Linked DNA regions of Diceros bicornis minor. The protein of the gene in region 1 purifies or fractionates together with the protein of each later gene. This does not show direct contact. Links are inferred from orthologs where the notes say so. Each region holds a gene or a part of one and is shown in the gene's direction. Other genes may lie near its edges.

What was found.
Region 2: the proteins of IKBKB (region 1) and PRKCQ purify together in Homo sapiens (affinity purification with western blotting; 4 studies listed by BioGRID). This does not show direct contact. The link is inferred for Diceros bicornis minor from reciprocal best matches to the Homo sapiens genes IKBKB and PRKCQ.

What each region holds. Positions count from the first base shown.
Region 1 is NC_080768.1:39,331,661-39,347,735, forward strand, and holds the start of IKBKB (inhibitor of nuclear factor kappa-B kinase subunit beta), read left to right. Parts: upstream 1-8,028; 5' UTR 8,029-8,167; intron 8,168-8,823; 5' UTR 8,824-8,841; coding exon 8,842-8,946; intron 8,947-16,075.
Region 2 is NC_080775.1:7,745,914-7,762,756, reverse strand, and holds the start of PRKCQ (protein kinase C theta type), read left to right. Parts: upstream 1-10,340; 5' UTR 10,341-10,379; intron 10,380-16,843. UniProt on the Homo sapiens protein: Calcium-independent, phospholipid- and diacylglycerol (DAG)-dependent serine/threonine-protein kinase that mediates non-redundant functions in T-cell receptor (TCR) signaling, including T-cells activation, proliferation, differentiation and survival, by mediating activation of multiple transcription factors such as NF-kappa-B, JUN, NFATC1 and NFATC2.

The sequences.
Region 1 (16,075 bases):
ACTGAGAAAGATACAACATCACACCAGACAAACCCATATTGAGGTACACTCTACAAGACAACTGGCGTGTGCTCTTTAAAAATGTTAAGGTCAAGGAAGACAAAGAAAGGCTGAAGAATTTTTCCAGGTTAAAGTAGACTAAAAAGATAAGACAATTAAAATTAAATGCAATATGTGATCCTGGATGGATCCTGGACTGGGGGAAAGCAGCTATAAAGGATATTACTGGAACAACTGACAGAATTATTGACTGTGAATCAAGTAATAGTTTTATTTCAGTGTTATATCTGGTTCTAATAATTGAACTGTGATTATGTAAAAGAAAGTCCTATTCTTAGCAAATAGACACAGGTAATTAGGGGTGTGGGGTACAATGTCTCTAATGTACTCCAAAATGGTTCAGAAAAAATAATATGTAGATGGATAGATAGATCCAGAGAAAATGATAAAGTAAAAGGAGTGAAATGTAAATAATTGGTGAATCTGGGTCATGGGTGTACAGGAGTTCGTTCTATTATTCTTGCAAATGTTCTATAAGTTTGAAATTATATCAAAATTAATGTATACGCTGGCATTGAAAGAGCTCTAAGAAGGGTTATGCAGTGATAATGGGAAGGTGCAGAGCCATGCACATGTTATGTTTCTTTAAAACAATAGTTTCTCTTCCTTCCTACAAAGGAGATACAAGAAATGTTTGACAATGTTGGCTTTTGGGGGACAGACTAGCAATCAAAACCTGGAGAGAGAATTTTTTACTTTTCATTTTGTATCTTTCTTGCTGTTTGAATTTTTCCTTCCCTGGGGTAAAAAATGTTCAACATATGTTAATTTCCTTCCTTTCCTTCTTCCAACTAAAATTCAAAAGCCCCTACAAGGGGTCCCACTCATAGAAAAGGGCATGAACTTGGAGACAGAGGCCCAGGGGAGAGAGGAGCTAGGTGATGCGCCCAGATAGAGCCCCCAGGCCCTAAGGTGGGAAGGGAGGTGACCTGGAGACCAAGATCCACTCTACCTATTTGGTGATCTGGCAGCCCTGAGAGTGGCCCGCAGCCTTCTGCTGCAAGGAGATGCTGGGACTGGACAGGTAGGTGGGACAAGAGGAAGTGCTGAGAGCAGCCCAGGCTCCGGATGGATTTGGGTCTGATAGTTGAATTGCAACACACCTAGGCCTTGAATTAAGGTTCCCACCTCAGCTGTCTGTGGGGCCTTTTCCCCCCTCCTTCCTCTGAACAGTACACTGGCTCTCCGCTTTTCTCTCTGTTCCTCATTCTTGGCACGGCCGCTGCAGGCTCCGAGAGCAGCAGTCCCTCCCGCCTCAGCTAGCTCAGCCCGGCGTTACTCTGCAGCCGCTGACCCCGGCCCTTCCCAGTCGGGTAAGTGGTTTGGTCATCTCTGGCCTCTGACTCCTCCGATGAGAAATCCAGCCCAACCCAGCGGTCCAGCCACACCTCAGCAGTTCTCTCAAAATGGTGGCTACAAAGATAATCAAAATGGGCCAAAAAGCAAAACTATGACTGTAGATCAGTGGTTGCCAGGGGCTGGGGGTCAGGAGGTAGGGGAGGGGGTTGACAGCAAGGGGGCATGAGGGAACATTTTGGGGTGATGGAAATATTCTATAGGGTGATTCTCACAATAGCTACTAGGCTATATGCAGTTGTAAAATAACATTAAATTGTACACTTAAACTTGTAAATTTTATTGTATGTAAATTATTCCTCTATAAACCTGATATTTTAAAATGACCAAAATGAAGTAGAGAGATTACCTATGTATTTAAATTATCTTACATCCTCTGGTAATAAAATGAGTAGAGGTCTACAGTTTTTTCCCCCTAAGAATCATCCCTCCTGGTCCTGCCATTTTTTGCCCACTTCAAAAACCCACCCATTCGCCCAGTGCGAAGTGACTCAGATGGGCAGTTAGTAGTGGCAGCAGCAGAGAGGAAGACAATGTCACATAGGACCAAAACAGTCTGTCAGTGTTTCTGTCTTCTAAGAGGATGCATAATTCACATCAGATCACCACAGGTCGCGTTTCTTACAGAGGGTGGTGGCTGGGCAGGGACAGAGAAAGAAATTACACAGTGTAGATGGCCCCTGTTTAGCCCAGGATTTTGGTCACTCACCCAGAAGGGGTCACAGAGGATCTGGAATAAGTCACGTCAGCCTGAGAAGCAGCAGCTTGTGAGCTGGTGAGTGGGTTTGGGCCGCGCCTGAGGCAGGGGGCCTCCGAATGGAAGTTAGACAGCTGTGCTGGCCACCTGAGTCCCTGGCTGCCAGCGCCTGCTCGGGTTCTGCCTGAGGCTGGGGTTGTGGTGAGGAGAGCTAGCTGCCCTGCATTAGAAATGGGGAGGGATCTGGTTCCTTGTCCAGGGGCAGGAGGCTTGAGGAGCTGAGCAGGAGAGGGCAGGGGAGAGTGGGGGCTAGGGCCCGGTAGTAGAAATGGGAACTTCTGAACAGAAGTTGTCTGATGCTTAATTTTGAAACACCTGTGGCGCTGTGATGTGAATCCTTCCATCTCTCCAAACCTTTGATGAAGTCTGTGAAATACCAAATCTTTCTGTGAAAGACTATTTGGATGAATTTCAGGAAAAGGGCTAACCTCCATGCCTGGGCAAAGAACAGGGTCCACGAGCCCAGGATTCCAAAATGACCCATAAAGTGATCAGACCCCCCCAATACAGAAATAATTATAGGGTACCTGCTGTGCAGCCATAAATGTTTGCTGTTGTTATTATTATTTTACATTGTGGCCAGCACCAGGTGATGTGTGGAGGGTGGGGCAGAGAATAGGAGCAGTGGAGGAGGCAGGCAATAAACAGACTAACATGTATTGAAATTAGTGAAAGCCCACTTTCCAAAGCTGCCCCTAAGGTACTCGGTCCTTCTGAGGAAGCAAAGGCCACGTTGGGGTGAGGCTCTCACTTCATTGGGCGACTAGCACCGTGCTGGGCAGCTGCCAGCCTGCCACACGCCAGCACCAGGGCCTCAGTCTCTGAGCTCACCTGCATCAACTGTTGGGGCCCAGGGCAGGCCACCCCAAAGTATCCCACAATGACATATTGATTATTTTGAATTAATGTCACTTGAGAAGCAAAAAGGACATTCTGACCCTCCTGTCTCTGTCCCCCCTGAAAGCAGGAAATCAATCTCCTATGGAAAAAGTGCTCTCCCTCCATCCTTATCACCAGAGCTAGGGAATGCCGGGCCGAGAAGTCAGCATAAACAAACCTTGTTAATTTACTAACTCAAGCCTAAACTCTATTTAAATTCCTCACTAATTACATACCTCAAACCTAAGTTTCTTTGTCCTGTCATTCCTCACAAATTTATTATTTCTTTATATAAAAAGATATCTTTCTGCCTGCTTTGTTCACTCTCCAAGCATCATTTATCTATGATCTCCAGTACACATGAATTAAATTGGTTTTTTTCCTGTTAATTTGGTCTTATGTCAATTTTATTACTAGTCCAGCCGTAAGAACACAAGAAGGGTAGACGGGAAATGTCTTCCTCCCAGACACTACTCAGCCCACATCCCATACAACAATGCAGTGACAGTCAAAGAGGACAAGATCAATGTCCTCTTTAAAGTAGCTGGTGTAAATGCTGAGCCTTTCTGGCCAGGCTTGTTGGCAAGGACGCTGGCCGATGTCAATACCAGGAGCCTCTTCTGCAACGTAGCAGCTGGTGGCCCTGCCCCAGCAGGAGGTCCTGCCCCCATCCCACCCCCTACTGCTGCTGTCCCTGTGGAAGAAAAAGAGTGGGAGCAAAGAAAGAGGAATCTGAGGAGTCCCATGATGCCATGGGCTTCAGTCTTTTTTTTTTTGGTGAGGAGGACTAGCCCTGAGCTAACATCTGTTGCCAATCCTCCTCTTTTTGCCAAGGAAGATTGGCCCTGAGATAACATCTGCCCATCTTCCTCTATTTTATACGTGGGACCCCTGCCACAGCATGGCCTGATAAGTGGTGCGGAAGTCCATGCCTGGGATCCGGGCCTGCAAACCCTAGGCCGCCAAAGTGGAGTGCACGAACTTAACCACCACGCCACTGGGCCAGCCCCTGGGCTTCAGTCTTTTTGATTAAATCTCTTTGAAAACAAGTTAAATAAAAAGCTGGACCCTTAAAAAAAGTAGGAGCTGAGAATCCAAGGTAACTAAGAAACATATCATCCACCTCACCCACCATCACACACCAGCACTCTTACACCAAATTCCTGGAGAGATGTGAGATGTGAAGGACATGGGGACTCTCACTGTAAGTGAGGGAAAGTTTTGCGCCTATTTCCTTTGAATCACAAAGAATGGGGATTGCAGCTTACCTCTGGAATATTGCATTTAAAACACCTTAGTAAATATTGCATTTAAAACAATGGCTTTGGGGCCAGCCCGGTGGCACAGCTCTGCTTTGGTGGCCCAAATGTTCCCAGGTTTGGATCCCGGATGTAGATGGACGCACCGCTTGTCAAGCCATGCTGTGGCAGCGTCCCATATAAAGTAGAGGAAGATGGGCACAGATGTTAGCCCAGGGCCGGTCTTCCTCAGCACAAAGAGGAGGACTGGCAACAGATGTTAGCTCAGGGCTAATCTTCCTCACAAAAAACAAAAACAAGGCGTTAACAACTGCTATTCAAAGAGGCCTTAATACGCACCAGGTTATGCACTAGGCACTTTATATATAAAATCTCACTTACACTGTACAACCATGAGTAAGTTTTATTAGCCCCCATTTTACAGATGAGAATACGGAGGCTCAGTGAGGTTCAGTAAACTGCCTGAGTTCCCCAAGCCAAGAAAATGCAGAGCCAGGATTAGAACCCATGTCTCTGAGACTCCAGACACCACATATAACCAAATGCCAAAGAGGGCAGCATGACCAGTCTTTGCACTGGCCAATTCACTCACTCATTTAATAAATTTTTGTTGAGCACCTATGATGTACCAGGCACTGGGAATGCAGCAGTGAACACAATCTCTGCCCCCAAGGAGCAAAAGGAGCAGCTCAGAACTAAGGTGAGCTACAAAACATACCTGCCTGTGACAGAAACATATACACCAGCCCGTATCCACCAGCTCCCTGCCCCCACGGCCAAGGTGGGGGCAGCTGTCCTTTAGCGACTTCTTCATCTTTAATTTGAAGAGGGCTCATTCTCACTGTCAGTCTCTGCCAGCCCACCCCCATCTCCCACCAACTCCCCCAGAAGAAGGTGGATTTCTTCATGTCTTCAAACTAAACAAGTTTTCCAGCTTTTCTGGTGGAAGAATTTTTGTTTGTTGAAGGAGCAAGTCTTGACTTGCTCAGTCCTCTCTGCAGGGCAGAGATAAAACTGGAAGGATAATGAAAGAGTTGCTGAAATCACTGGACCAGAGCTGACTCTCTGGGGGCCGGGGGGCTTGGGAAATCCTCCCGATCCCAAACGGTCTGGTTGCCTTCCTATCTTTTAAGCTGTTTCTCTTACTATGACTCAGATCCCAGACTTTCAGATAACAATCCTCTCCTCACTCAAAGGAGTTCAGTGCTGCTTTGCTTGCTGCTATTAGGTAAGAGAATAGTTTTCTCAACTGATGATACGAAAAGACTGAGCTTACTCAGTTATCTTTGTCTTACCCTGGGAAGAAGATTTTATTTTAAAATAAACCCCTTAGAAACTTTGTCCTTATCACTAGTACTGTCCTACCTCCACAGCAGAACAAATTAGCACTGGATTGTTTTTATGGCCTAGTCGTCCTTATTGCTCATTACATAATGGCTCTCTGTGGGCCTTGTGTCCCCAGGAAGACTCTAGGCGCCTCTGACGAGAGTTACATTGCTTGGCTCCCCTGGGTCAGCCGTGCTCAGGGCTGTGCTAGGCACTTAGGCTGCTCAGTATTTCTTGATTACCCTGTAGTCACTGCTAAATAGCAGACTCAGCCTCAGAGCAGGAAGAAAATGGAATATTTTTCTGCTGCATTTGAAAATACTCTTTGCAAACAGTTTGTTCATGTCTCTAGAGCAGGATAGAGACCAGATGTAGGCAGTGGACATGTCTTATCTGGGGGGAAAACGAGGCTTAAGATGATAAATATCTTGGGACATGATAAAACCCAGAGGCTCCTTCCTGAGCCATCACTAATTAAAAAAAAAAAAAAATCTAGTAATATATGACCTTATCAGAGAAGTTTATGTTCAGTTGAAAACCAAACTATTTTGAGCTGAGCAAGTGAGAACTCAAATTATAGCGGTGCAGAGCAAACCGTTGTGGATGTCTTGCTAAGTTTCTCAGGGACAGTGATTTTCAGAGGTGACAGGATTAAAGAGAAACCTTTCATGATGTCCTACAGGAAATAGACTCTGCATGGGGCCCAAATCACACAGGTGCTCAATAAATATGTTTTATTTGTAAGATGTATTTATTAAACAAACACTTACATTGCACTTAGAGTATGTCAGGCACCATTCTACATGCTTTACAACTATTTACTCTTCTTCCTTTCTCTTCCTGCTTTGTGGCTGAGTGTGCTTACTCGGCAGTGACAATAGGGTAAATCGAGAAATACCGAGGAGCGCAAAGTGCCTAGGGTAGCCGCAGGCATGGAGGACCCATCTATTTGGGTTGACATATGTTGGCCTCAGCCCGGGGCTCTGTTCAGGCAGGAGCATCCTCTGTGTCAAGCATGGCTCTAGCCATTACCTCATCTGTCCTGCACAACGACCCCGCTGGCGCCTCTGTTCTCTGGCTTGCGTGCCCTCCTGTCCTCCTGCTGCTCTGAGGCTGAACCAGATGAAAACTGCTGATCTTTGTTGCTGGCGTTTCGACTGTTTTTGCTTTATAAAAAAATGACAATTTCATGCCATTCAACCTAATCCTGCCTACATTTTAGAGGAGAGAAGCAGACGCTTGGAGTGGTTAAGTAACTGGCCTTAAAGTCTCAGAGGTAATCAATAGCAGTCTGGATTCAGCATCCAGTTTGCCTCCTGAACTTCTTAGAATGCTGCTTTAACCACACGTTAATAGCATGGGCCCAAGAACCAGCTGCTTGGGTTTGAATATCAGATCATCTACTTACCAGCCTGTGACTTTGGGATAAACACTTTTCCTCTCTATGCTTCAGTTTTCTCATCTGTAAAATGGGGATAATAATAATGCAGTATTGTCCAGTTTGTGGGGTTGCCTTGAGGATGGAATGAGGACACCTAAGTACAGAGTTTAGGTAGCGCCTGGCAGTCAGTAAGCACTCTATACGTGTGAGCTCTTATCTTCAGGTTTCCTTTAATACTTGTTGTCCTGCTAGCGTAAATATACTAACACACACACAACTCCTTAGTCTGCTAATATAACACCATAGAGAGAAACTCAATAGAAACTTTATTACAATGCCAGGTAGATGGGAGAGGAAAGATTCATCTCAGGCCTGAGAGCCTCTGCCACAATTTCCCTACATCACTGGGGCTGAAAACGTGCTTTAGTGTCACACTACTAGATTTTCCCCCCCTTTTCTTTATTTTTTCAAGGGGGGAGAAGGGGCTGTCACTTCTAAGGAGTACAGCTTTGATTTATCATTCTTGACACGGAGCCAAAAAGCCTCCAGACAAGGGGAGCGCAGCAGGAGGACAGGAGGCCAACGACACTTCTTGTAAATAGTCCCCAAATCAATCCCAGCGGGGGCGCGGGAAATTCCACCGAGTTAAAAGTCTAGGAAGCGGTGTCAAGTTCACCCCAGGAGGGCTGGGGTGAGGAAATCCCCGTCTCCCCTGTCCCAGAAAGCGCTCAGGTTGAAGTCATTTGTCTAAAGGGGACTCGGGCATATTAGGGCTCAGCTTAGGACTGCTCTTTTATCTCAGGGAGCACAGCCTGACCAACTTCGACAGGAGTTGTCTAGAAGCCGCACACCCTCCCGGGATCACCTGGGCGGGGGTCGCCGGGCGCGGCCGGCTGGCGCGGGCACGGGGCGTCGCCTGACCCCCCACCTTCCCCCCCTCCCCCCGCGGCCCCTTTAAGGGCCGGCCGGCCCACGTGCCTCTTGACGTCAGAGCAGGAAGTGTTTGAGGAAGTCGCGCTCCGCTGGCAGGTTTAAGATTCCCGCATTTTAATGTCTTCGGGGTGGTGCCCGAGACCCCAGTGGTGCCGCCCAGCCCCTGCCTCCCCCGCCCCGGGCAGCCGCTCCCCCGCCCCGCGGCCCCGCCGACAGGTGAGTCCCTCGGGCGGCGCGGTCCTGGTGCCACCTGCAGACCCCGCGTCGCCTCTGCCTCGGCGGGCTCGCACCTCCCTCCTCACTTGAGGCTCCTGAAGAAACTTGTGTGGAGTTTGAAAGTCGGGGGGGGGTGGGGTTCCGGGCGTGGAAGCGATCCTCTCGTCGGGTTGGAGTCGGGGGCCCGGGACAGCCCTGGCCAGGTGGTTCCAGGGGGCGGCTTCGAGGTGGGTGGCTTTGGGAGAGAGCCCTGATTCACTGGGACTGTGTGAAGACACGTGACCGCGGGGACGCTCACGGCTCTCCCTGCACCTCGGGCGGCGTGCCGCGGGGCTCGCGCCGCTGGCTGGAGTCCAGGCTGGGCTCCCCCGCCGAGGTCCTGGGCTGTGGGCCGTCATCTCCTTTGGGTGGCTTTCCTCCCTCCGTGCTTCCACAGCCGCTGAGGTGGGGGTGGAGGACGATGAGCAAGACAAAAGTTTGCCCCCAAAACCAAAAACCCAAACAGAGAAACTGGTTTATTTACAAAACGAAAATCAGCTCAGGTTCTTCTCTCACATTGAAGGGCAGTGGTCTCTCTCACCTTCCCCGTCCCTGTCTCCCAGAGTTGCATTTTGTCTCAACCTTAACCTTTTGTCCCCACCCCGAATTGCTTACAGAGTTAGCACCGCATCAGTATGAGCTGGTCACCCTCCCTGCCAACCCAGACATGTGGGGCCTGGGAAATGAAAGAGCGGCTTGGGACAGGGGGATTTGGAAACGTCATCCGATGGCACAATCAGGTAGGGGCTCTGTGCAGCTGGGAAGGGCCAGGGTCGGCAGGGTTTGGGGGTGGGGAACACAGGCCCCCTCTCGCTGCCTCTACCCCACGTGGTGCTGGATGGGTCAATGGGGCTCACCTTTGGCCATGGGCTTCTTGGGAAGGAGTGAGAGAGGGAGACTGGGAAGAGGGCTTCAGGGCTGCTAAGCTGGCTCTGGGTTAGTGGTCTCTGCGCTTTATTGACTATGCCACCTAAATAAATAGTAAAAAAATTTAAGCTTTCAGCCTCAATTATATATATTTTAAGTTATATATCTGTCCTAATATTAGACTATCATGTGCTAATCTATTGTGTACTAATCTATTACATGCTATAAAGTTTGGTATGCTACACTTCAGCGGCCCTGGATCGGTTCCCAGGCACGGACCTACACTGCTGGTCAGTGGCCATGCTGTGGCAGCGGCCCACATACAAAATAGAGGAAGATTTGCAACAGATGTTAGCTCAGGGTGCATCTTCCTCACGCAAAAAGAGGAGCATTGGCGACGGATGTTAGCTCAGGGCCAAACTTCCTCAGCAAAAACAAAACAAAACAAAACAAAAAACACAAAAATAAAAATTTAAAGGATGAGAATAATAAAATTTTTTAACTGTTTTAAAAATTAATTTTAAAAATATTTTAAATATTTACCAATTATAATGTCTTCCCAGTATTGTTTACAATACTTCACAGCACAAAATATTCTGATCTACGTGAAAGTGAGAATTATCGTTAAGGATTGTGGATGAAAATCTGTATTTCAAATAATTTTTATAATTTTGAATTATTTGGACCAATTTCTTTTTAGATCTGGTTAGTTCCTCGTTGTTTTTATTCCTTATGTGTCTGACATGAGTTTCTCACACTAGAAGTGTCACTTCTTCCATATTCCTGTTTGTGCAGGTGTTACACGTACTGAAACTCTCTGCAGGAAATCTCTTTAAGCCACTCATCCATTTTATGAGTGTTCTTTTATTAAAATTGCATAATACAATCCGTAGCTCTACCTCAGTGGGGCACATGTAATCCGCATCGCGTCCCCATAGGCCCCTGTCCACCCCCTGCCAGTGGAACGCCCATTTTCCTCAGGATACCTCGAGTACCAGAACTGGCACATGACCTTCTGACGAATGATATGAGGAGGGTGCCATACAGTTAGTATCAGAAAAGCTTAATTTCTTTTTATTTTCTTGGATCCCAGTCTTGGGTAACCCCTGGGGTGCATACACCCAATTTGGAGACCACTGCTCTGGGGAACCCTCACTCACCAAATACGTAATAGTAGCTTCCTGACCCAAACTTCAGACCCACTGAAGTCCTTGAAGGAAGGTGCCTGCTTTTTAACCAAGGGCGGCTGAGCACCTTTTGGACTGAAGGGATGGCAGATCACACGCTGCTTCCCAGGAGCCTGGCTGCAGCAATCGCGGAGGGTCATTGAGGCTACTGATCAGCCATGTTGAGGGTCATTCCAGTCAGCCATCCATCCACCGTCATCATTTAGTGGGAAGACATTCTAGGCCCTGCCTTGAGTGCTGCCAGCTCTGAGCAGATCGAATGACCCCTAGAGAAATAGGGAGCCAGAGCTGGAGGGCAGAGTACAGTTCTGCAGGCGGTAATTCTCACACCCAAATGGGAAGCTAGGCTTCCAGCAAACCCCGTGGCTGAGGGGGCCTAAGAAACAAAACTGGCTCAAACTTGTTCTAGTCAGAGTATAGTTGGGAGCCTAGCATTTTAACAGAGCAGCCAGATCATTCTACAGCCCTACATATACCTGGGCTGGACTGTTTCTGAATAGGCCAGGGTTTTTAGAGTCTTGACTATAGCAGATATCTTGCTGCAGCCGCGCTAGAGACGTCTCGGTTTCCTTTGAAAAGAGTTCTGTCCGAATGCGCCACGTATCTGTCATCTTTAAGTCAAAATGACCTCCATTTGCTCTCTGGGCTTGGAAAGCTGTTGTCAGATGAAATGTGTTTCTGGCTTTATAGATATGAGCCTGAGAGAGAGAGAGAGAGAGTGTGTGTGTGTATGTATGTATTAGTCTTCTAAATTACTACTTTCAAGTTCCTTCCTCTATTCAAAAACTTTCATTTGTTCTTTATTTTTAAAAAGCCAAAAGCCAAATTCCTCATTCTGCCACTTGAGGCCCCTCCACAGCCTGGCCTCACCCTGTCTTTCTTTTTTTTTTTTTAATTTTATTTATTTATTTTTTCCCCCAAAGCCCCAGTAGATAGTTGTATGTCATAGTTGCACAGCCTTCTAGTTGCTGTATGTGGGACGCGGCCTCAGCATGGCCGGAGAAGCAGTGCGTCGGTGCGCGCCCAGGATCCGAACCCGGGCCGCCAGCAGCGGAGCGCGTGCGCTTAACCGCCAAGCCACGGGGCCGGCCCATCACCCTGTCTTTCTAGCATTACCTTCCCTTGTTGGCTCCCAACAGGTTGGTCGGTTGAGCCCTCTCTGGGACAAGCCTCTGTCTCCTGAACAGCTTTATGTAAATTCTGCCCGTTCCTCCAGGAGCGGCTGTAGACCACCTCCTCTGTAAACCCGTCATGGACTCCTTCATTCCGTGGGCATTAGTCTTCCATTGAATTCCTTCAGCTCCCCTCGTTTGCCGTGCCTCATGTACTGCCTTTTTGTGTGTGGGTAGGAGTGTATCTTGTCAAGGCTCTAAGTTCCTGGTCAGCCAGGGCTGTCTGGCTTGGGGTTTCTTTCAATTTTCCCATAGCAACTATCTTTATGTGATACATGTGTTAGGTGCACAAAATCATTTATCAAAATGATTTTGATAAAGACCTTTTTGGAAACGAAAAAGCCATTAATCAGTAATTACACCTGTAGACTCCCAACCATGCTGAGTGGGACATGAGAGAGGGGCCCAGTGCAGTGAGACCCTATACCGGGGGCAGCATCAGTCGGGGGTCAGGGAAGGCTTCCCCAAGGAGGTGGCTCTTGAGCAGAGACCTGAGGGATTGGTAGAAGTTAGCCGTGCAGAGAAGGTGGGAAGAGAGTTCCAGGCGGAGGGGCAGCCTGTTCAGAGCCCCGTGTGGGGGGATGAAAGGCCAGGGGGAGCCGGGTGCAAGGGAGGTGGGAGTGTAGAAGGCAAGAGTCAGACCCTGCTGAGGAGGTTTTGTTTTCATCCAAAGAGCAACGGGAAGCTGTTGAAGGGAGGTCCACTCTGACTGTGGGGACAGATTGGAAGGGGCCCAGGCAGTGGTGTGCTGGGAAATCAGCTCTCGGAAAAAACGCCCTGTTGGGTAATGTTTACCAGTTTCCACAGGTAACTACTCCCATCATGGCTCATTTCAAGCCACTGACAGTTTCACAACCAGTTCTCACCGAATTCCTGAATATTTAAGTCAGCTCTCAGAGGCTGGTACTAGGACACCACGACTGCCCTGTCATCAGAGGAGACCGATTATGAGGCTTTTGGGGTAGTCCAGGTGAGAGATTGGACAGGCTGATGGTGGTGCAGATGGAGAGAGTGGGCAGATGTAAGAGCTGTTTTAGGGGTAAAACTGATAGGCCTTAGTGGTGGAACAGAAAGTGGAGGGGCTGAGGGAGAGGCAGGAGTCGAGTGCTCACAGATGCCGAGTGCACGCTTGCTGAGCCTGGCTCCGTCCAGGCAGCTCTCCAGCATCCTCTTGGGGTGTTCCTCTGTTGGAGAAATCCCTAGGGCTGCTTGGGGTGCTTAGGGGAGGTTCTTTAATTGACGTTCAGGATCAGAACATGAGCAGTGTGTCCTCTGATGGATACCCGTCTGTTCAAAGCCTCTGAAGAAGGCAGCTGGGATGGGGTGGTCAGCACACTGACCCTAAAAGGAAGTAATGTCTTTACTCCCATTTTATAGCTGAAGAAACTGAAGCTCAGAGAGGTTAACCCCAAGATGCTAAGCTAGTAAGTGAGGGAGCTGGAATCTGAACCTACATCTATCCGCATCCCAACCTCAACCTCACGCTTTCTCCACTGTGGCTTGTGACTTCTCCATTGTGTGGAATCCAAGGTTAGGGTTGCCCCTAGAACATTCTCAGGACTCCGCAGTCTGTCTAAACTATTTTGAAGCACTAAGGGGAAAACTTTCCTTTGGAGGACAAATATATAAGTCTTCCTTGTTAAACAAGAACTCCAAAATAAATATTTCCCAGTGAAGAAGGGCAGGGTAACAAATGACCCACCCGTTTCCTGAGTTTTTTGGTTCTCTTAGCAAGCATGGGCCTTGACCATCCTTGCTATGTTGGCACTCCCTTAAATCTTCAGCCCAAGGATCAGTCGAGTCTAGATAGGTTGGTATTTTCAATAAGGTCTTTGTTAAATACAAAGGAAGAAGAAAAGGAGATGACCTGAGTGACCTCAGCCTGCAGCACCTTTTGGGACTAATGGGGAAAAAACACATAGCTCTCAATCACACGGACCTGGGTTCAAATTCTGGCTGTTATTGCCAGCTTCGTGGCTTTGGGCCACAACCTGCCACGTGGATTTGGAGGATGCTAAGATATTGATCCCCTTGGTTCTAAGCATGCCTGGGCTGGACATGGGGCGGCTGCTCTCTGGAAGCATCTGGAAGCATCCCAGGTGCCTTGCAAATATCATATTCTCTGTGCACTTTGATGTGAAAGAGGCTGGAAAGTGCTGCCTTGGATCCTAAAGGATACGTGTGAGGATGAAATGAGGTGATGTAAGCACTGGCTGTTACAAAGATGGAAAAGGTAAGGTATTGTTAATTATCCCTTCTAGGAAGTAGTACTGACTTTACTTGTACCCTCACTGGACAGGAATAAGTTCACTTCAGCTTATCTGTGTGTTTTGAAGTCTTAAAGACTTTAGTCAGTCAGTTCACTGAGAATTTATTGAGTGCTGGCCTAAGCTCCATCAGGGATCCATCAGGGAAGAAGAGATGATGTGTCCTTAATGTGCCTGTGCTCTAATCAAGGAGGTAAAAGGGAGACTTAGGAACATATCAAATAAGTCTAAATATAAGCACTAAATTGTGTGGCCATAATGATGGCTACTATTTATCAAGAGTGTCCTGTGCCGCTTGTGCTGGGTGCTCTATCCATATTGTCTCCTGAATGCTCAGAGGTGGTAGAAGGCTTCTTGAGGAAATGGAACTTAATCAGAATCTTGAAAGCAGGAAGACTGTAGGTAGTCAGGAGAAGAGAAGGCAATTCAAATGTATAGAGCAGCATCTACCTAGAGCCAGAGAAAGGAAATGATACTACTGTAATTTACTCAAGGCTCACTCTGTATCAGACACTCCATCTCGTTTAAACTGACAGCACTGGGAGGGGTAGAGTCATCTCCATCTTATGGCTAATGACCCAGAAGCTAAGGAATGGGCCCAGTGTCACACATTTACCAAGTGAAGGATGAGGGAGTTACACTGGGACCTACTTCGCCCCTGAGCCCCTGTGGGTGAGTTTGGAGGCCACTGTGTCCGTTGAGTGTGTCCGTTGAGGGAGTGCCTTGAGGTCAGAGCCCTCTCAGCATAGACTGGTCAACGCTGTTGAGTCAGGGGCAAAGCTACAGCCAGACCCTGGATCTTTTGACTCTCAGGCCTGGGTTCTGTCCCTAGGATCTCTTTGGGCCCAGCTTTGCCACTCCTTTCTGAAACATTCATCTTGGAGGGCAGGGCCTGAGAAGGAAGGAGGAGGTTATTATCAGTTGCCCCCTTATACCACAAGGGCCTGGTGGGTGGTTGCCGTGATAACAAGAGCCAGCTTTCTGAGCTAAGGCTTTGAATGTACCTCTTGCCTTCCTGTGAGTTTCCCTTAGTAGTTAAAAGAAGGCTGACTTTGGGAATCTGGGCCAGCTTCTTCATAGACTGGCCTTCCAGCTCACTTCTGCTGTAGCACCTGTTGGTAGCTCTTAGCAGTCTGAAGATGTGTCTCCCACCCCCCTCTACACTTTATAATACACTCACATTTATACACAGGTTTTGTGTTTTCGCCTACAAAAGGCAAAGAACCGCAGAGACTCTAAGGACCTTCATAATCAACTGCATTCAGTGTAGATGATACTGTTGGCCCCTTTCTCCATTTTCTCAAAATACAAACCAATTTTAAGTTTTGTCCCACAAAAGGAGTCCACTTACTAGAACTTGGGTATTGAGATAGTTCTGGCCAAGTGTAGGTTTCCACAGAACTGAGCTGAGACTCTAGGAGGTTCCAGGCCAAATAAAGAAAGGCATCCACTGCTCTTTGAGTTTCATTGCTGGTGAAGAACAAACTCCCCAGGGTTTCAAAACCATATTCGTTGTCTGTTTCTGTACTGTTTAATTGAATTTTGCTTTCTAGAGCAGGTATGTTTTTAGCAATAGAAAGTCATTGTTTGGGTTTCTTTTTCAAATGAAACATTACTCGTGGAAAAACTGGCATGTTTTAGAATACTTCCTAGAGGGCCACTGTGTAAGAAAGTTTGTGTGTCTGTATCTGTAAGACATTTCCAGGCCTAGGAAGTTAGGATTTCCCCTGCAACCGTAGGACTGAGCTGAGTTCTCCACAAATAGAAAGTCAGCTTTGGTCTCTGCCCACTTATTCCACGACATGTTCAGTGCTGCTATTGCTAAGCTCCCTCTTTAGTCTGAGTTTGGATACTGAAGCCAATATCAAATCTTCAGTCTTTAATCTTCAATATCAAAATTTATTCCTGGATTCTGGGTTGGGCCACGTGACAGATATGTGTTAGGTCCAATGTTTGTTTTAAGCAAAAGACTACGATTGTCCACCATTATCCAGTGTATAGGCAGACCTAAAATATTTTCTAAGTCACTTAGTAAATCTACCTTTTGAGTTTGATTTATCTGTCATTTTAGGAAGGAAGCATACTGTTTGTGGTGGGCACAGTAATGGGAACTCCTGAAGATGTCTATATCCTAATCCTCTGAACCTGTGAATATGTTAGGTTACATGGCAAAGGGGAATTAAGGTTGTAGATGAAATTAAGGTTGCTAATCAGCTGACCTTAGATGGGATGATTATCCTGGATTTTCTGGGTGGGCCCAGTGTAATCACAAGGGTCCTTAAAAGTGGAAGAGGGGTGCTGGTCCGGTGACGCAAGCGGTTAAGTGCACGCGCTCCACTGTAGCGGCCCGGGGTTCGCCGGTTCAGATCCCGGGCA
Region 2 (16,843 bases), on another chromosome or scaffold:
TTTTCTAAATTCATAGCTTGAAAATTCCCTCCATTTCTCTGACTTCCTCAGCCATCCCAGAAGCACCCCCGGCACCACAGTATGAACGGATGCCAACCCTCTGTAATAGAATGCACCCTCGCACTCTCAGGTTTATGTGATGGGTGAAGGCCATGGGCGAGTTGGTCAGCCATGAGCTTGCCATCCATCTGAACCTGGACCACATGGACCTTCCTTCTGTTCAGTTCACTTTCTCATAACACACCCCTCTCTGCTCTCCGCCCAGCTGGCCTCTCGGGGCGGCTGCTCCTTGAAAGACTTCTGTTCTAGCGTCTGATCCTGGATTTGGCAGTTTCAGAAACGGAATTTTATCTGGGAAATCTGTACCCGATGAAAAAATGTGCACCATCCATCAGGGAGGGTCTGCCTCACAAGATAACCAGTAGAGTTCCAATCACCCAGGAGACTAAAGCACAGGTCCCATCAATTCTTTGTAAGCAAAGAAATATTTGAAAAATGATAATAAAGGAAAGTGGAGGGCCGGCCCCGTGGCTTAGCGGTTAAAGTGCGCGCTCTGCTACTGGTGGCCGGGTTCGGATCCCGGGCGCACCGACGCACCGCTTCTGCGGCCATGCTGAGGCCGCATCCCACATACAGCCACTAGAAGGATGTGCAACTATGACATACAACTATCCCCTGGGGCTTTGGGGGGTAAAAAAAAAAGGAGGAGGATTGGCAATAGACGTTAGCTCAGAGCCGGTCTTCCTCAGCAAAAAGAGGAGGATTGGCATGGATGTTAGCTCAGGGCTGATCTTCCTCACCAAAAAAAAAAAAAAAAAAAAAAGGAAAGTGGATGTTTCCAATGGATATTTATATCAAGCTAATAGAGGCTTATCCTTCTGCAGTTTAGCGACATATCTTTTGAAATAACATTTTCAGCTCCTTAAGTAAAGAAATACAATTAAAGACAGTTGAACGATTTGGAAGAAAAGCAGACAAATTCTCATATCCAGCCCTCCTTTTTAATATTCTTTATCAATACTCAGGATCTCCATCATTAAAAGCTTATCTTTAATTACCTCAAGTAAAATTCTTCCAGATGATTCTTTATTGCCTTTATTTATATTTTATAGCAGTTACTTCACGATACTTTAATCTTATCGACATGCTACCTCCAAAAAAGCAATGTAGAGAGGGTCATAACTACCCCCATTGGTACTTTGTGCAGTCTTTATTGGATTCCATTTAGAAATGGGCATGAACTGACTTTTGCTCAAGTTGGGAAATATTCTATTTTTTAAAACTTTTGCAGTATTTACCCACTGACTAGAATGTGGAATTCAAGGTTTTCTTCACCAAATTTTTGCCTTTAAAGAACAAATACTTTGTATTATCTACTCTGTACAAGGCATGATGCTAGGGACCCAGCGGAGGCACACAAAGAGGAACGCAAGCACAAATCCATGGCGGAGGAGATGTCAGTGGACTGCCGCTCAGGGTAGGAGTGGCAGGGTGTGTGTCAGGATTTCAGAAAGAGAGAGGTTGAGAGAAAGAGAAGCCTCAAAGAGGAGGAGGAGGAGCCTAGAATCATGGCCGTGGGGGTCCAAAGTCCTGGAGACACCATCTTGTCTAACTCCTCCACTCATCAAATAAGAAAAAGGACTCAGACAGTATTGACTTGTTTGAGGTCACACTGTCATTAAGCTTAACTTGTTGGCATGCTGAATAATAGCACAAGAGAGACAGAGAGAAATAGAGGGAGACAGACACAGAGAGACAGAGAGACAGACACAGAGAGGAATAGAGAGAGACAGACACAGAGAGACAGAGACGTGGAGAGACAGAGGGAGAGAATTACCATATCTGCCACATTGTACTCACTATACTCCTAATGAACTCTCCATTACCTGGGAAACCAACCCTGTTTCTGGCTATACAGAAAGGGCTTTACAAACATGATAATACTACATTCCATTTTCAAATAACCATTTTATTGGGGTTGACGCAGACAGAAAAGTACACAAGCCACAAATGCACAGCTCAATGGATTACTTCAAAGTGAACATGATTATGTAACCACCTCCTACGTCAAGTGATAAAATACCACCAGTGCAGCATAAGCCACTCTGAGGTCCTTTCCCAGACACTATGCCACCTGCCTCCCCAAATGTAGCATCCACTATCCTGACTTTTCATAGCGTGCATTCGTTGTACCCATTTTTGAGCTTTACGTAAATGAAATCATATAGTCGGTGTTCATTTAGACCCAACATCATTCACTCAGCACTATGATTGTGAGAAGTGTTCATACTGCAGCAGTAGTTCATTTTCATTGCTGCGTCCTATCCATTGGTTGACGTACCACAATGTGTTGATGCATTCTACGGGTAATAGACGCTTGGGCTGTTTCCATCATGGGGGGATTGTGAACAGCGCTGTGATGAATACGTTTACTCGCCTTTTAGTGCATGTATATGTACACATTTCTGTGAGTTATGTACTCACGGAATGCTTGGGTCACAGGGCATGCATATGCTCAGCTTTAGCAAATACTGCCAGTTTCCCAAGGTTGTACTAATTTGCATGAGAATTCCACTTTCTCCACATCCTCCCCATAATGTACATAATGGACTCACTATGTCCAGGGAGTTACAAAGTAGATCATGGTATTTCTGGAATTTTCTTTCTTAGCTAAGAAATAAAAGGAAGAATTTAAGTTTAGGACCGCGGAAGAGGTCTCCATTCTATCCAGATGAAATGGCAAGGAAAAGAGAAAGTGTGAACCTGCAAAAAGTAAGTAAACGTAGAGAGGTTTGGGGAAATAACACAAGTGCAATAGTTTTGTTTTTTTTAATTCTTCTTAGTGCTTTGACACTCTGTGGAATATGCAAAAGGCCATAATACCCTCAGGGACCTATGTTTAAAGACTTTCAGTTGATTTATTGTTTGGTTTCTTTAGCTTGGGTTCTCACTACATTCCTAGGAAAAGTGGCAGCTTGGTAATAGAGCTGTGGTGGCTCGAATATGCTGCACCTTGCTGTGTCACCCAGAAGCCTTTTAAGATCTTAAGTTTCTAAGTCGTTTTAAGTTCCCTTGGCAGGTCAGGTCACATGACATAAAGGTTCTCAAGCAACAGTTTTCTTGTCGTTTGCTTAGAGAGAAACATTCTTAGTGTGATTAAAATTTAATCCACATTTCTGCAGCCCCCTCAAATCTACGTAACACTCGAACTTATTCTTCAGTATCAGTTGCTTTAGCCTGACCAAAAGCCTTTTCCTCTAGTTAAAAGTGCACAATCCAGTGAGTAAACAGGGAGCTGGTTGGGTTTCTTTCCCTGCGCAGCGGAAACTGCTTAAAATGAGTTACATTTGAAGAAAAAAAATAAAGCCATTCTGTGGAGTTATAAGGGCAGACAAACAGTATCATTATTCATTCTTTAAGGTATTTTTTTGTGTGGGAGTAATTTTCGTCCTTTAGTAAAAAGCAAAGTAGCTAGGCCTATTTGAGCACCCAGAGCATTCTAAACATCTGCCTAAAAATCATATTTGTCATTCTTTGAAAAATAAAAACATCAACAAATCAAGTGAAAATCAAACTATTAAAAAATGTGCTATGAACTGTCAGCTACAAATTGTACGATGTAGATAGTTTTAGCTACAGTGTCAAGATCCATGCCCTCAGCCACGACTAGGATAAGATACCAGAACAGTTATCTTTATATTTTGAGATTCTAAGAGATTTCAATTTTCTTTTATAAACATTTTTATATTTTTGAAATGTTCTATGATGAATCTTCATTACTTTATCATCAAGCAACCAGAAAAAGTTATTTCTAAAGTAAAATAATTCCAAAAATTATGCGTAGATAAAAGAATGTAAAGAAATACACCAAAATGTTAATTGTCTTTGGATTGTGGAATTATGGGTAATCTTTTTCTTTTTTCCTTTTTTCTAATTTCTAGATGTGTGTGTATGTGAGTGTGTGCATGCAAGTGAATGCATAACTTTTATCATAGGAAAAATAATAAGCCTTATTTTTCAAAACCTGCATGCAGAATATGATCCCTACTGTTAGCCTCCGTAGTTGGTGGCCAGAATTCTCTAGACACTTCAGCATAGGTCTGAATGAGCACCATCTTGGTTGTGATTCTGGATCTTGCGTTCACTTGCTATGTGATCTTGGATAAATTATTTATCCTCTCTGAGCCTCAGTGTTCTCATCTGTAAAGTGTGAATAACACCACCTATGTTATAGGATTATTACGAGGGTAAATAAGATCCTATAAGTAACATACCACTACAAATGGGCTATACAGGGCAGCTGATCATTCAACGTACAGCATCCTCTTCCTAAGGTTTATAGAGATCAAAGCACATGAGAGCCCTTACCTACTCAGTCTTCGCTATGAAATTGGCAGGATGTAATATGAATATCTCCCTTTTATTAATTTTAATACAAACATGTAGAGGAAAGGATTTGTGAAATAATGCATGACATTTATAATCTATTTAGAAAAATAAATATATCTTCCAATTTCGAACAGATACCACATATCTTCGATTTTTGAGCATAACATCTCCATCAAGCTCTAGCATGAGGTGTAAAAAGATTAATTTATTTTTCATTATTTTAAGGTTGTTTTAAGTACAAATATAAGCTAGATGATTACTTAACTATTGAACATCTGCTCTCTGAATTATATGCTGAATCTCAAATGTAGAGCTTTACTTCTTTTGTTTGCTGACTCTGCCTAGTGATAAGCAGAAAGAAAGAAAACAAAGAAGAAGAAAACATCTGCTCGAATCTACTTACAACATATGAGTCAATGCAAGTTTAAAAAAACAACCGGTGTCAAGGGTTGCCATTTGGGGGCTAAAAACAAACCTTTCAAGGGTGAGAGGGTTGGGTTGGCGAGACCATGAAGCAGAGCGCGTCGAACTGACTCACACAACAGCCAAATATGGTCAACTCAGCCTCTGTAGGCCATGTTCTAACCACTGAGAAAAAAAGAAATTCCTTAGGTTTTTGTTCCACAAGAATTTTACTTGAAAGTGAATGATTGAAACTACGGTGTAGACAGGAAAACTGTACACAAAGAAGAGCATAATGATGTTCAGTGTTTTCTTGGGCCATCAGTGCATGACTTCCTTGACAGTAATAAAAATTTTTTATACCAGTGAATATGTTAAATTAACAATGACTACGACCAGAAGCAAATTTTGTTACATTCCCCATCACTGACAACTAGAACTTTCTTTTAATTGACATTCTCAGAAGTTTTTTTTGTTTGTTTTTAATTTTTTTATTTATATTTTTATTGCGGTAACATTGGTTGATAACATTGTATAAATTTCAGGTGTACATCATTATACTTCTATTTCTGCATAGATTACATCATGTTCACCAACCACATACTAATTACAATCCATCACCACACACATGTGCCTAATCATCCCTTTCTCCCTCCTCCGTCCTCCCTTCCCCTCTGGTAACCACCAATCCAATCTCTGTCTCTATGTGATTGTTTGTTGTTGTTTTTATCTTCTACTTATGAGTGAAATCATACAGTATTTGACATTCTCCCTCTGACTTATTTCACTTAGCGTAATACTCTCAATGTCCACTTATTCTCAGAATTTTATAGCTGGAAGAAACCTGATAGAATATTCCATGTAGTCCAACGTACTTTTGTAAAATGAAAAATCCCCTCCCTCCATATGTGTGTGTGTTTGTATGTGTGTGTGTGAATGGCAGAATAAACCATATACAGTACGCATTTGAGGGGTATGGACTGAAGGAGAAGGGCGTGATGGGGGCAACTGTGGTATGTGCCTTGTTAAAAATGAGATTGAGAGACAAAATGGTTTAGGCTAAAGTCATATGCTTTCATTGATAGATTTTCAAATCCAAGGGCAATTGTACTATGTCAAATTGTAGAATTGCAATAATCAAATTTATAAATATGACAGAAGGCTTGATTTCTTGATTTCTTCCTCCTGGATTCACAGATTAATTCTCAGATTTATCAAACTTTCCTGGGGAGGAATTCTCATCAAGCTGTACAAGCTTTCCGACTTTCAGGCTGCTGTTGCTTTTCTGCTGCTGAAAGAGAATCACTAAAAAGTGGGCTGTATAGATTATTCTATCTAATCAATATCTCTTTAATTTCAGACAAAAATTTGTATTCATTTGGGCCACACTCACTATGCTGATATCTCGACTCACTCAATCCAGAACTGTATCTGTAGTCCTTAGAAATATCAGACCTTCCCCCCATCCTGAGTCTACCCTTAGAACTTACAAACACGCCAGAAGTTTATTGTGTTATCTTGCATCTATGTTAAAACAACATTGCATATCTTATTCACTGATTCAGATACTTATAATTAGTCTCTTTATTGGCAGTGATGACTTAAAAAAATCAGGCCTTTAGGATTTCAGAAGGCACGACCAAAACAAGACAATATTGTGTTTGCATAACTCCCCTACCTTTTTAAAAAAATAAAATAAAAGGAACACTTTCATGCTCAATTTCATTCTTTTATAATGTAATAATAATTCATGCTCAGGAAAAAAATGATCTACTCTAAATGTTATGCATCATTAAAGATTAAATTTTGTTTTCCATGGTTGTATTATTAAGTGGGCATTTTATACACCCTAATTTACAAATTGCCCATGCATACATGTGTTAACATTTTTCTTCTTAGAATACCTTATTCACCGGGACATCCACAAACATACACAATTCTTTTACTGCTTCAAGAGTCAGGCTATAATTTCACTTCTTGTCTTGTTTCTGTTTGATGCAAAAATCAGGGATTTGAGGGTAACAGACTGGGAGTCAAGCCACAACCGCCACCACCAATTGGCTCGATGAGCCTGGCAAGTCACCTGTTTGACTGCTAGGACTCAGCCATCTGTAAAATGAAGAGGACATTACTCATCTCATGGGATTCGTTGTAAGAATCAAATGAAATGATGGAAATAAAGTGTTTAACACCAGGCCCTGATACACGTCGTAAATGCACAACAAATATTAGCTAGTATTAGGTTCACTCATCACCTCTTTCTTAAAGGAAGACTTTGTACCTACCTCCCCACCTACCTTGTCTAAAATTTTAAAATTAGCTTAACATTACTAAGCATTACAAAAACAACAGAACTTTCACAAATATCACGTTATGAACACTGTCCCTTTTTTCCCTCAGCATTCACCTTCCCTCTCAGGGTCTGGAAGAGTTGATATCAATCTTATTACCAGCAGGAATCAAGGTTTATTTACTCCCCAAGGAGACTGCCAATTTTTGCTTCAGGTTTAGAGCTCTTTCTCACAATAACAATTTCTAACTTCTAATTATCTTTTCTTCCCACTTGACAACACGAAGTTGAAGTGAAGAGGAAAAAAAATTCTCTTTCCCTTGTCCAAGCTGTGAATTTAAAATACCTGTATTTTTGTCTGTGCCTCTGTCACTCTGACCCACAGCTCCTAGAATAATTTTGACATTTTCTGAATAAATTGATGCTAGACTCGGCATGTTTTTCAAGTCTTTGGTTAGGGTAGATCATTGTCTTCTGATATTCCATGCTGATTCTTCTGAGGATTCAGGAGGACCACTTTAAAAACTATGTCTGCCAGCCTTTAGAAAAAGTGGATAGCTGGGTAGCCAAATTCCTCATGAAATAGCCCAACCTGGTTTCCTCTGAGTGCTGATTTTCTGCAGACAGAGGCGTCCTTGTTACATAATCCTGTGCTCAAATTGTCTGTGTTTGTCATATCCTACTTCTCCCCAAATACCATCTTTCTCCAAATTGGGGCTCCTAAGGACATTTTCTTTTTAATTTCTTTCCTAAATCCTTCATGGAATGTTAACCTCACAGAAGGGCGCAAGAAGTGGTCTCTTTCAGAGACAGAGCATAATTGTCAACTAGATCCAAAATGAAAGCAAAGTGTCGTCTCAGGCTCCCTTTTGCAAATCTCAGGCTGAAGGAAGATGGATTGCAGTATCTCCAGGGACAAGACTCATGGGAGTCGTTTATTTCTTAGCTCTGGATCCAAAGTAGGAATCACATCTTTCCTGGCTGAAGTGAACTGAAGCGGCTGCCCACAGTCTGAGTTCAGCACGATTCCAGGAAACTTTAGGGCAAAACCTGAAGGAGGAAAAGAAGTACAAAACTGAAAGTTCGAGTGTGTGTAACGTAGTGAGTGGAACCTCACCACCCACACGTAGTCCCCTCCAGGAAATGCCATTTCCTCTTCCAGGAAACAAAGGTGTGGAGGACTTCTGAGCAGCAGCCATGTTGATAAAACAACGAGAGAATGTCTACTATGAAACAGAAATGCCTTGTAGCCCGAGGAAAGAGAAGGCTGGCAGCACAGCATGCTGGAGTCAAAAGACCCAGAGGTATCTTGAACGTCTAGCACACATCAAGAACAAATTTGGATTATTTTCTTTTAGATGAGATTCAAAATAAACAAAAAAAATCCCATTTCTAGACATATGATGAATATTGTTTTAAAAGATCCAGTCTTCAAATGAATGGGTTTCCAACTGTAGGACTACATGGTTATAGAATAGCATGGTTGTGTGAGTCTCCAGAGACCGGCTGTCCAGAAGAGAGAAGCAGAGAACGGAGGGAATGGTTCTAGAACGGAGGCAGTATTCAATAGTGCTGGAGCAGGCTGCTTCAGACTGGCCTGAGTTTGAATCCTGGTCTGGTAATTTACTAACGGTGGGAACTTGGGCAAGCTGCATAATCCTTCTAAATCTCATTATTCTCATCTCCAAAATAGAGATGAGGATATAATATCTACCTCCTAAGATTGTTATGAGGATTAAATGAATATTGCATTGAAAGTGTTGATCATAATGCCTGCCCCAAGACACGATCATCATCATCATCATCATCGTCATTTTTGAAACCTTTGTTAAAGCCACTGACTATTGACTAAATTAAAAGGACATGTGAATTTCCCTTGAGCCCCTATATGTACTTAATCTCTTTCTCAAGTAGTGAGTGCCTACTGAGTGCCAGGCTCTGGTGATGTCTTGGTGAGCCGGCGCATCTGAGGTTCTGTCCACCCTCACACCTCCTGGCTAGAATCTTCCAAGAGGTGGCAGCCTCTCTGTTGGATGATCCTGGCCTGAGGGTCCATCCAATGCTGTTAGACATTAACAAATGGGAGAGAGGGGCTAATTTTCATGGAACATATTTTTTGTCCTTAAAAGCAGTGTGTGTTTGCTTTGCTGAGTTCTTATAGATGAGGGGAAAGAGTCATCATATCAAACACTTCTGGGCCTCAGTTTTTCATCTTTAAATTAAAAACTAGCTGTAGACTGAGGTCCTTTTCAGCTAACACTGTACTTCCATGATCAGAAGCCTACAAATCGGAGGTTTGGCTCTTTCATAGACTTTAATCTCTCTCTCAAAAAAAAGAGATTATTGCTTTATTTCTCAGACTAATTCCGTCTTACTATGTTATAGCCACAAAAGACTTAACCAAGTGCATGTTAACCATTTAATGTCATAATGGAAAGGGAACAGCTCTATCATAGTATTGGTAACCAGGCATATAGTTTTACTAACCTGAATGAAAAATTAATTCTATGGAGTACAGCAAGAACCACCCCAATGATCCTGGTTCACGACGATCATTAATACCAATAGCACTGCGTAAAAATCTTCCAATGACAATGCTCTGTAGCATTACATTGCAGCTTCAAGGGCGTTCAAGTTTAAAGTGTGCACCTCTGGAAACTATATATAAATTATAAAGACAGTTGTGCAGAAACAGAAAATCAACATCATAAGTAGGACACAACCAGAGAAGATTATCCACCGGACAGAACTGCACCGACTTCTCAGGCAGGTAATTTTAAAAGAGCAATGTTCACAAGTACTTTCAGGTGTAAAAACAGACAGAACAGACGGAACGTTTTTTACCGATTGACCCTGATCCTTCCCACTGGAAGGATCGTTTTGGGTTTTCAGTTTGGTTAGATGTAGAATCAGGCGGTCTCATGCTTCCTTTTCCTTGCGCTCAGCATGTGGCTAATGCCAGGCGCCCCTTGTGGGCCCTCCTTCAGCATCGTCACCCCAGGGTACCCCATCCTCATCTTCTCCTGGTTGTAGCGCAGCGGAGCGCGAATCGCCAGGAAGGAGCGAGGCTGGAGGCGAGGGGCGGGCACAGAGGCGGAGAGGAGGCGCTCGGCACCGCGGTGCGCGCGGGCTGCGGGTTCCTGGGCGGCGTCCGGGGAGCCCGCTCGGGCGATCGGGGCGCAGGGTGACGAGCGCCCCCTGGCCGGCGCCGCCCGCGGGCGCAGCCCTGCGCCGGCCCCGCCAGTGCCCGCGCCAGCGCCGAGCAGCCGCGCGCCCGGACCGGCAGCCCACCCTGCAGGTACGTCCCTCCGCGCGTCGCCGGCCCGGGAAGGGAAGGGGGTCTGCGCGGGGCCAAGATCGCGGCCTAGCGGGGCGAGGCCCACCCAGCTCCGGCTTTGAGGTGTTCCAGGAAGAGGGGAGCAGGATGAGAGCGAAATCGAAAAGACACTCGAGCGCAGCAAACTTCTGGTCATTTGCTTCCCGTGGGTTCTTGTGTGCGGGTTGCGCAGGATGCTGCGGACCTTGGTCGTGGGGTGGCCACCGGGTCTGGGGCCGGAGGCGCCTCCTCCTTCCTTCTCGATTTTTGTTTTTGTTTTTGATTTTTTTTTTTACTCTCACCTGAACTAATGGGGAAGAGAGAGAGGGAAGAAGGCGGCGGCAAGTTTTATATTCTTGGCAAACCTTTGTAAATAGAGATGTTTGATGCGATGGCAACCTGTCCACAGAGGAGAATAACTTGTTTTCTTGGAATTTGCTAGAACAGCGGACAGGGCTGCCAACACTCACACTTCTAAACAAACCAAGTGTCTTCTCCAGGGCCTGGGGTAGGCTGGCGCGGGTCTGATAAATACCAAAAAAAAAAAAAAAAAAAAAAAAAGTCCGGCGCTCAATCCTGTAACCTTGACTGAGATTATCAGCTCTGAGGGCCACATATTAAGAAAGTAGAGTTAAATATCTTTATTTTATTGGATTTTTGAGAACCCCAATTATCAATGTGAAAGAAACTGTTGGTGCTAAAGGCTTGGGCACTCCGCATGGGCATGAATGAAGAGAGAACCAAAGGCTGACTGCGCTGGGAGATTCTGGTCATTTCTGCAAGGATAGTGCCACTGAGCTGCCTTGTCCTTGGGAGACACCCTGCTCAGAGTGGTGCTAATAAAAGATGATTCAGTAATGGCACGAGCTGACAGGGAGGGGGGTGGTGACATGGAGAGAAGAATGAGGACTCGCTGCTCTCTCCCTGTCACTGATGACAATGAACCACCGTAGGTAGTGCGCGGGTCCGCAGGTGCCGGGTGGGCTTTCTGAACACAAGTCTGGCAGCTCCACTCCGTTATTTATCCCCTTGCATTGTCCTCTAGAAGCTGTGACCACCACCGGTCCTTTCCTGGACGAAGATGTTTGAATACAGACAAATCCTATTTGTAAGGTCCTGCGTGCCCCCCACTCCCACCGCACACCCTGACTTTGTGAATCACCATCTTCATTTTTTCTCTAACTTATCTTGGGTAACTCTCATAAAGTGGCAGGCTTACTGCTTATGCTTAGTATCTTTTAAAAATGCTGTGTCTAGTGGGAAGAAGGGTGACATTTACTAATTTGGTTGCAAATTACTTTTGAAGTTTATGCACAGCTGTTTAAACTGCCTCAGAGGAGCCCAGGGCTCTTGTCTGATGCAGGTGTCTGCCACAGAATGATCTTGTTCTCTCTTTCTTCTGCTGACTGGAACATTCATTTATTTAAAGATGCAGCATAGGAAGAGCTTCTAAAACATTCAACGCCTCAGCTGCGAAACTCCTCTAAGTTAGCAAATGAGTCTAAATTAAGTTGTTTTGTTTGGTTTTGTTTTTTTGTGTGTGTTTTTTCCTTTCACCAACTTTTATCTCTGATTTCAAGAGTAACCTGCTCGGCATCACCCGCCTTTGTTTTAGCCTCCTGTGATTTTCTTGTAAACTTTTAAAATGTAAACTTCCAAGGAGGACTCTCGTCACCACCCTCCGCTTTGTCATGTTCACTTCCGCCACTGTCTTGTGCTATGGTGGCTCGGGATGGCAAGCGGCTCTTGGGCAAACTTCTTCGTTCGTTTTCCTACCAAGTCCACCTCCCTAGGAGAGAAACTCCTTTATTGAGTCTGCTTTGAACATACATGGGTCAACTACTGGAACTGAGGGTTCTTTAGCTGATGTCCCACTTCTCTTTCTCGTAGGCAGGGATACTGTTCCATTATTCACACCTTGGTCCTTCTTTTAATTTCAAAGATGCCTTTTAACACCAATACTTGATTTCTCGTGTTCCTAACAGGTACTGTAGGCTCCCCTGAATATCCCATTTGTCTTTGGTCATTTCTATCAAGGTTCTTCATTCCATTCTGTTCTGTGGAAAAGAAAAAATGCTTCCGTACAATGAATTTGATGTTTTATTGAAAATTCCCTGTAGGCTGGATCTGGGATTTTCTTTCGAGAGTAAGGGCTTATGGTACAAATCTGTGAGTGGCATGCAGGAGTAGTGCTCCACAAATCTCCTTATAATACAGTATTTAATGTTAGTACATTTGCCTTCCCTTAGAATAGGAATTAGAGTTAGTACTTGCTGTTTTTAATGCATTTCATGTTTTGGAGTTACTGCTTATGTTGTCTGCCCCTGAAAATATTGCTGATATTTTAATCTAATGTGACTGTTTGTTAATAAGGGTATATTTGATTTCAAGTGACTTCCTTTTTACAGGGTTCGATCTTTCATTTTTTTTTCAGGTAATTTCCCCAAATCATGTAAAATAAAAAAATTATTATATGATGAAAAATACCAGAGAACACAAATGCATCACGTGATTCCATATTTATATAGTTTTATTGCCCCAAATCAAATCTGTCATTAAACGTAGGGAAATTAGTCTTGTGGTGACGTACGTAGCGTTAAATTCATTCTTTCTGTTTCTGTCCATTGTTTTAAAACTTTATCTCATTTTCAAGCAGCAATGCATCTAGCTTTGCTTTTTCATACGTATTCTGGCTGTTGAGGCAGCAATCATGAGAAACTCATAGAAAAACATGATGGTGAGGCAAAAGGTGAGTGAAAAGATGTTTTCTTGCAATAAGGGAAACATCTTACATTAACGTGTCAAGTGTTTATATACAAATTCACATAGCTGTGTCATCTAAAAATATCCTTGGGGCAAAATGAGAATCAGAGGTTTCAGAAATTAGGAATAGCTCACTCTAAGCCCAGAATCATAGATTTCTGCCTTGAGATATAATTAGCAGATATTTTAAAGACACTCACTTTGGCAACACATACTTCTACAGGTCACTATAGGTTGATGTTAACTTTTGATTTAAGCTAATAATATCGATGATAATAATAATCGAGCCAACAAAAGTAATAAAGCATGGTTTTATTGATGCATTATTTGTTATAATTTATGTGCCAGATATTATACTCAGAATTTTATTTATATTTCACAAACATTACTACCTTATTTAATCTTTGCAAAGCTTTTATAAATTAGATATTATCATTATCCTCATCATCATCATCATCCTCATCCTCATTTTACAGATAAGGAAACTGAAGCTCAGAGAGGTTAAGTCACTTGCCCAGCTCTTATAGCAGTAGAGTCAGGTTTGCCTGAGCATCAAGCAGTTGCCATAAACCGCAAAGCTGGACAACCTATGAATTAAAATTTTTTTAAATTGTAGTAAAATACATGTAACATAAAATTTACCATCTTAATCATTTTTAAATGTACAGTTCAGTGGCGTTAAGGACATACACATTGTTGTGCAACCATCACCTCCATGCATCTCCAGAACTCTTTTCATCTTGTAAAACTGAAACTCTCTCATTAAACACTAACTCCCCACTCCCCACCTCCAGCCCGTGACAACCTCCGTTCTGCTTTCTGTCTCTATGAATTTGACTAGTCTAGGTACCTCACCTACATGGAATCATACAGTATTTGTCTTTTTGTGACTTGCTGTCTCACTTAGCATAATCTCCTTCAGGTTCATCTATGTTGTTGCATGTGTCAGAATTTCCTTCCTTTTTAAGGTTGACTAATATTCCATTGTAGGTTTATATCCCATTTTGTTTATCCATTCATCTGTCCATGGACATGTGTCCATGTCCATGGATTTACGAATAATGCTGCTATGAACATAGGTGTACATGTATCTCTTCAAGTCTCTGCTTTAAATTCTTTTGGTTATATACCCAGAGGTGGAATTGCTGGATTAAATGGTAATTATATGTTTAACTTTTTGAGGGACCACCATACTGTTTTCCATGGCAACCACACCATTTTACATTCCTACCAACAGTGCACAAGGGTTTCAGTTTCTCCACATCCTCACCAACACTTGTTATTTTCTGTTTTTTGATAGTGGCCATCCTAATGGATGTAAGGTGATAACCAGTTAACTTTTTACGAAATCATTTGATGACTGATGTCAGGGGTCTGTGGGCTGATGCTCCTTCTGAATTCATCGTTTTTTCCTACCTCGCCTTGTGCTTATGTACCTTTCTCTAGTGCAGAATCATTGGAGGAACTACTACTCAAGCATCCCCTGAAGGACTAGGGAAACCATGGACAGGAAGGTTTCTAAAAGATAAACCAAATGTCCCTCTAGGTAGAGTTGCCTCTACCTACATGAAGGGCGTGGTGATTTGGAAACAAATAGTTGTCAAGAATAAAGTAAAGATGATGTTAGTATTAATAAGTCTAAATGTGTGGAATAGACCACTTGCGGGAGGTTAAAGGCTGAATTATCTCTTGTATGAGATCAAAACAAGACAAATCCCCAGGACAATGGAGAAAACCAAAAGGGGGGTGGCCATGCTTGAATCCAGCAGGCTTTTGTTGGGAGCCGCAGAGCCACGCACTGCGCGGTGTAACCCGCGGCGGAGACGCAGCCAAGCAAATAGGGAATCACAGTGAAGTGTGCTGGTCTCATCGTGTGTTTATATTGTTATATGTCAGTTTATAATATTACAGTGTGCGGTTATACTACGTATTTGTTTGTTTACTTTGTCTTTTTTCTCCTCTAGAATGTAAACTCCATGAGGGCCAGCTATCCCCGCCTGGTACACAGCAGGCCCTCAGTGAATAAGTGCAGAATGAAGGTATAGGTGCTATACTAGGGACATACACGGTGCTACAGGAGCACCTAGACTTGGAGTGTCTGAGAATATGTCCCAGATGGCCCAGTGGGACCTGAAGGGTAGGTAGCAGTGAGCCAGGTGAAGACATTCCAGAAGGTGGAACAGCATTTGTAGAATGGCCTAGCAGCATTTGAGCATGATGTCCTAGCGAAGGAAAGGAACGCTCGGTTTGAATATAGCCGGTGAGTGGAATAGAGCAGAGTGAGCCCAGAGGCTTCCACCTCAAAGCATGTGGTTGCAACTACTCTTTAGTTACAAGTGCAAAGAGCAGACTCCTTACCTCCCTTGGCTATCCCATCCTCCTTCCCCTCTCCAACCATCTGAGTTGTTCCACTGAGTGGAGGCTAAAGTGAGGAGAGTGCTGCCAAGGGAGGGGTGAGTTTCCAAAGCAAACCAAGGGCTACGAGTTCATGGTCAGATGAGATGACTCTTCACAGCCAAGGTGAGCAAGAAGCCAAGTCTTTCACGAAAGTAAACTGCAATGTCCTTCTTGCCATTTTGGAAGAAGGTCATCTCAGCAGTCTGTCTAGCATTTTTAGCATAGCAGCTTTCAACATTCTCCATTCTGTGGTCCATTTATGTATTTATTTCAATGATGCACAAACAAGCCTCTTACACAGTGTTTTTCAAACTGCAAGACACAGTCCATCATTGGATTATGAAATTAATTTATTGAGTTGTGACAAGCATATCTTTAAAAATGAAATAGAACAGAAAGTACTAGAATGCATTTCATGTTGCAAGAGCAATTATTTCATGAAATTTTGTGTCATGGAGTTTGGGACATATTAAATCTGTTTCATACCTAAAGGTTTGAAAATTATAGACTAATGGCATTTGGCTTTTTATACCATTGCTTTAAGTCTACATAGAGCATGATTCTACATAGAATCACATAAGCTTAGGGCTGGAGGGAGGAAGGAGACATGGAAAGGAAAGGGACATCTGTTGAGCATGCACTGTTTCCAAGTGCCTGGACACATGAGATCATTCACTCCTAGAGCCCTGTGCATTGGGTGGATCATTCACGGTTTATGGAGGAGACATTGAGGCTTGGAGAGGTTAAGAAATTTGATCAAGGGTCACACAGCAAATTACTAGCAGCGAACTCTGATCTCTTGGCTCCTAATTTAAAATTCTTTTTCTGCCTTCATGGGTTATATTCCCAAAGTTTGTTCATTGGTTGGCTGTTTGGGGAAGACAGTTCCTCAGAGAAAGTGTTATAACCATACTCCACATGTGTTAGAAAGAATATGTGCTTTGAGATATACTCTATCAGCTTCTTACAAACTAGATCACTTAGAAAGAAATCATATTGATTATACAGACCAGGGAACATTCAGCCTGAAGCTGACAAAGATGGTGACGGCCACTCTTTCTTGCCCTGGAGCTTTCCCTTTGCTGCCGGGAGAAGACAAGCCTGGTGGTGCCATGTGAGATGGTGTGCTTTCCTTTCCAAAGCTGGGGTCCCGGGGACGATAGCCAAATCCACCTGTTTACTTTTCCCATGTCCATACAGAGGTTGATGGGTTCTACTGGACAGAATTATGCAACTATGCAAATTCATGATGCTCTAATTCCATGATTTCTAACTTCAGCCAGGCT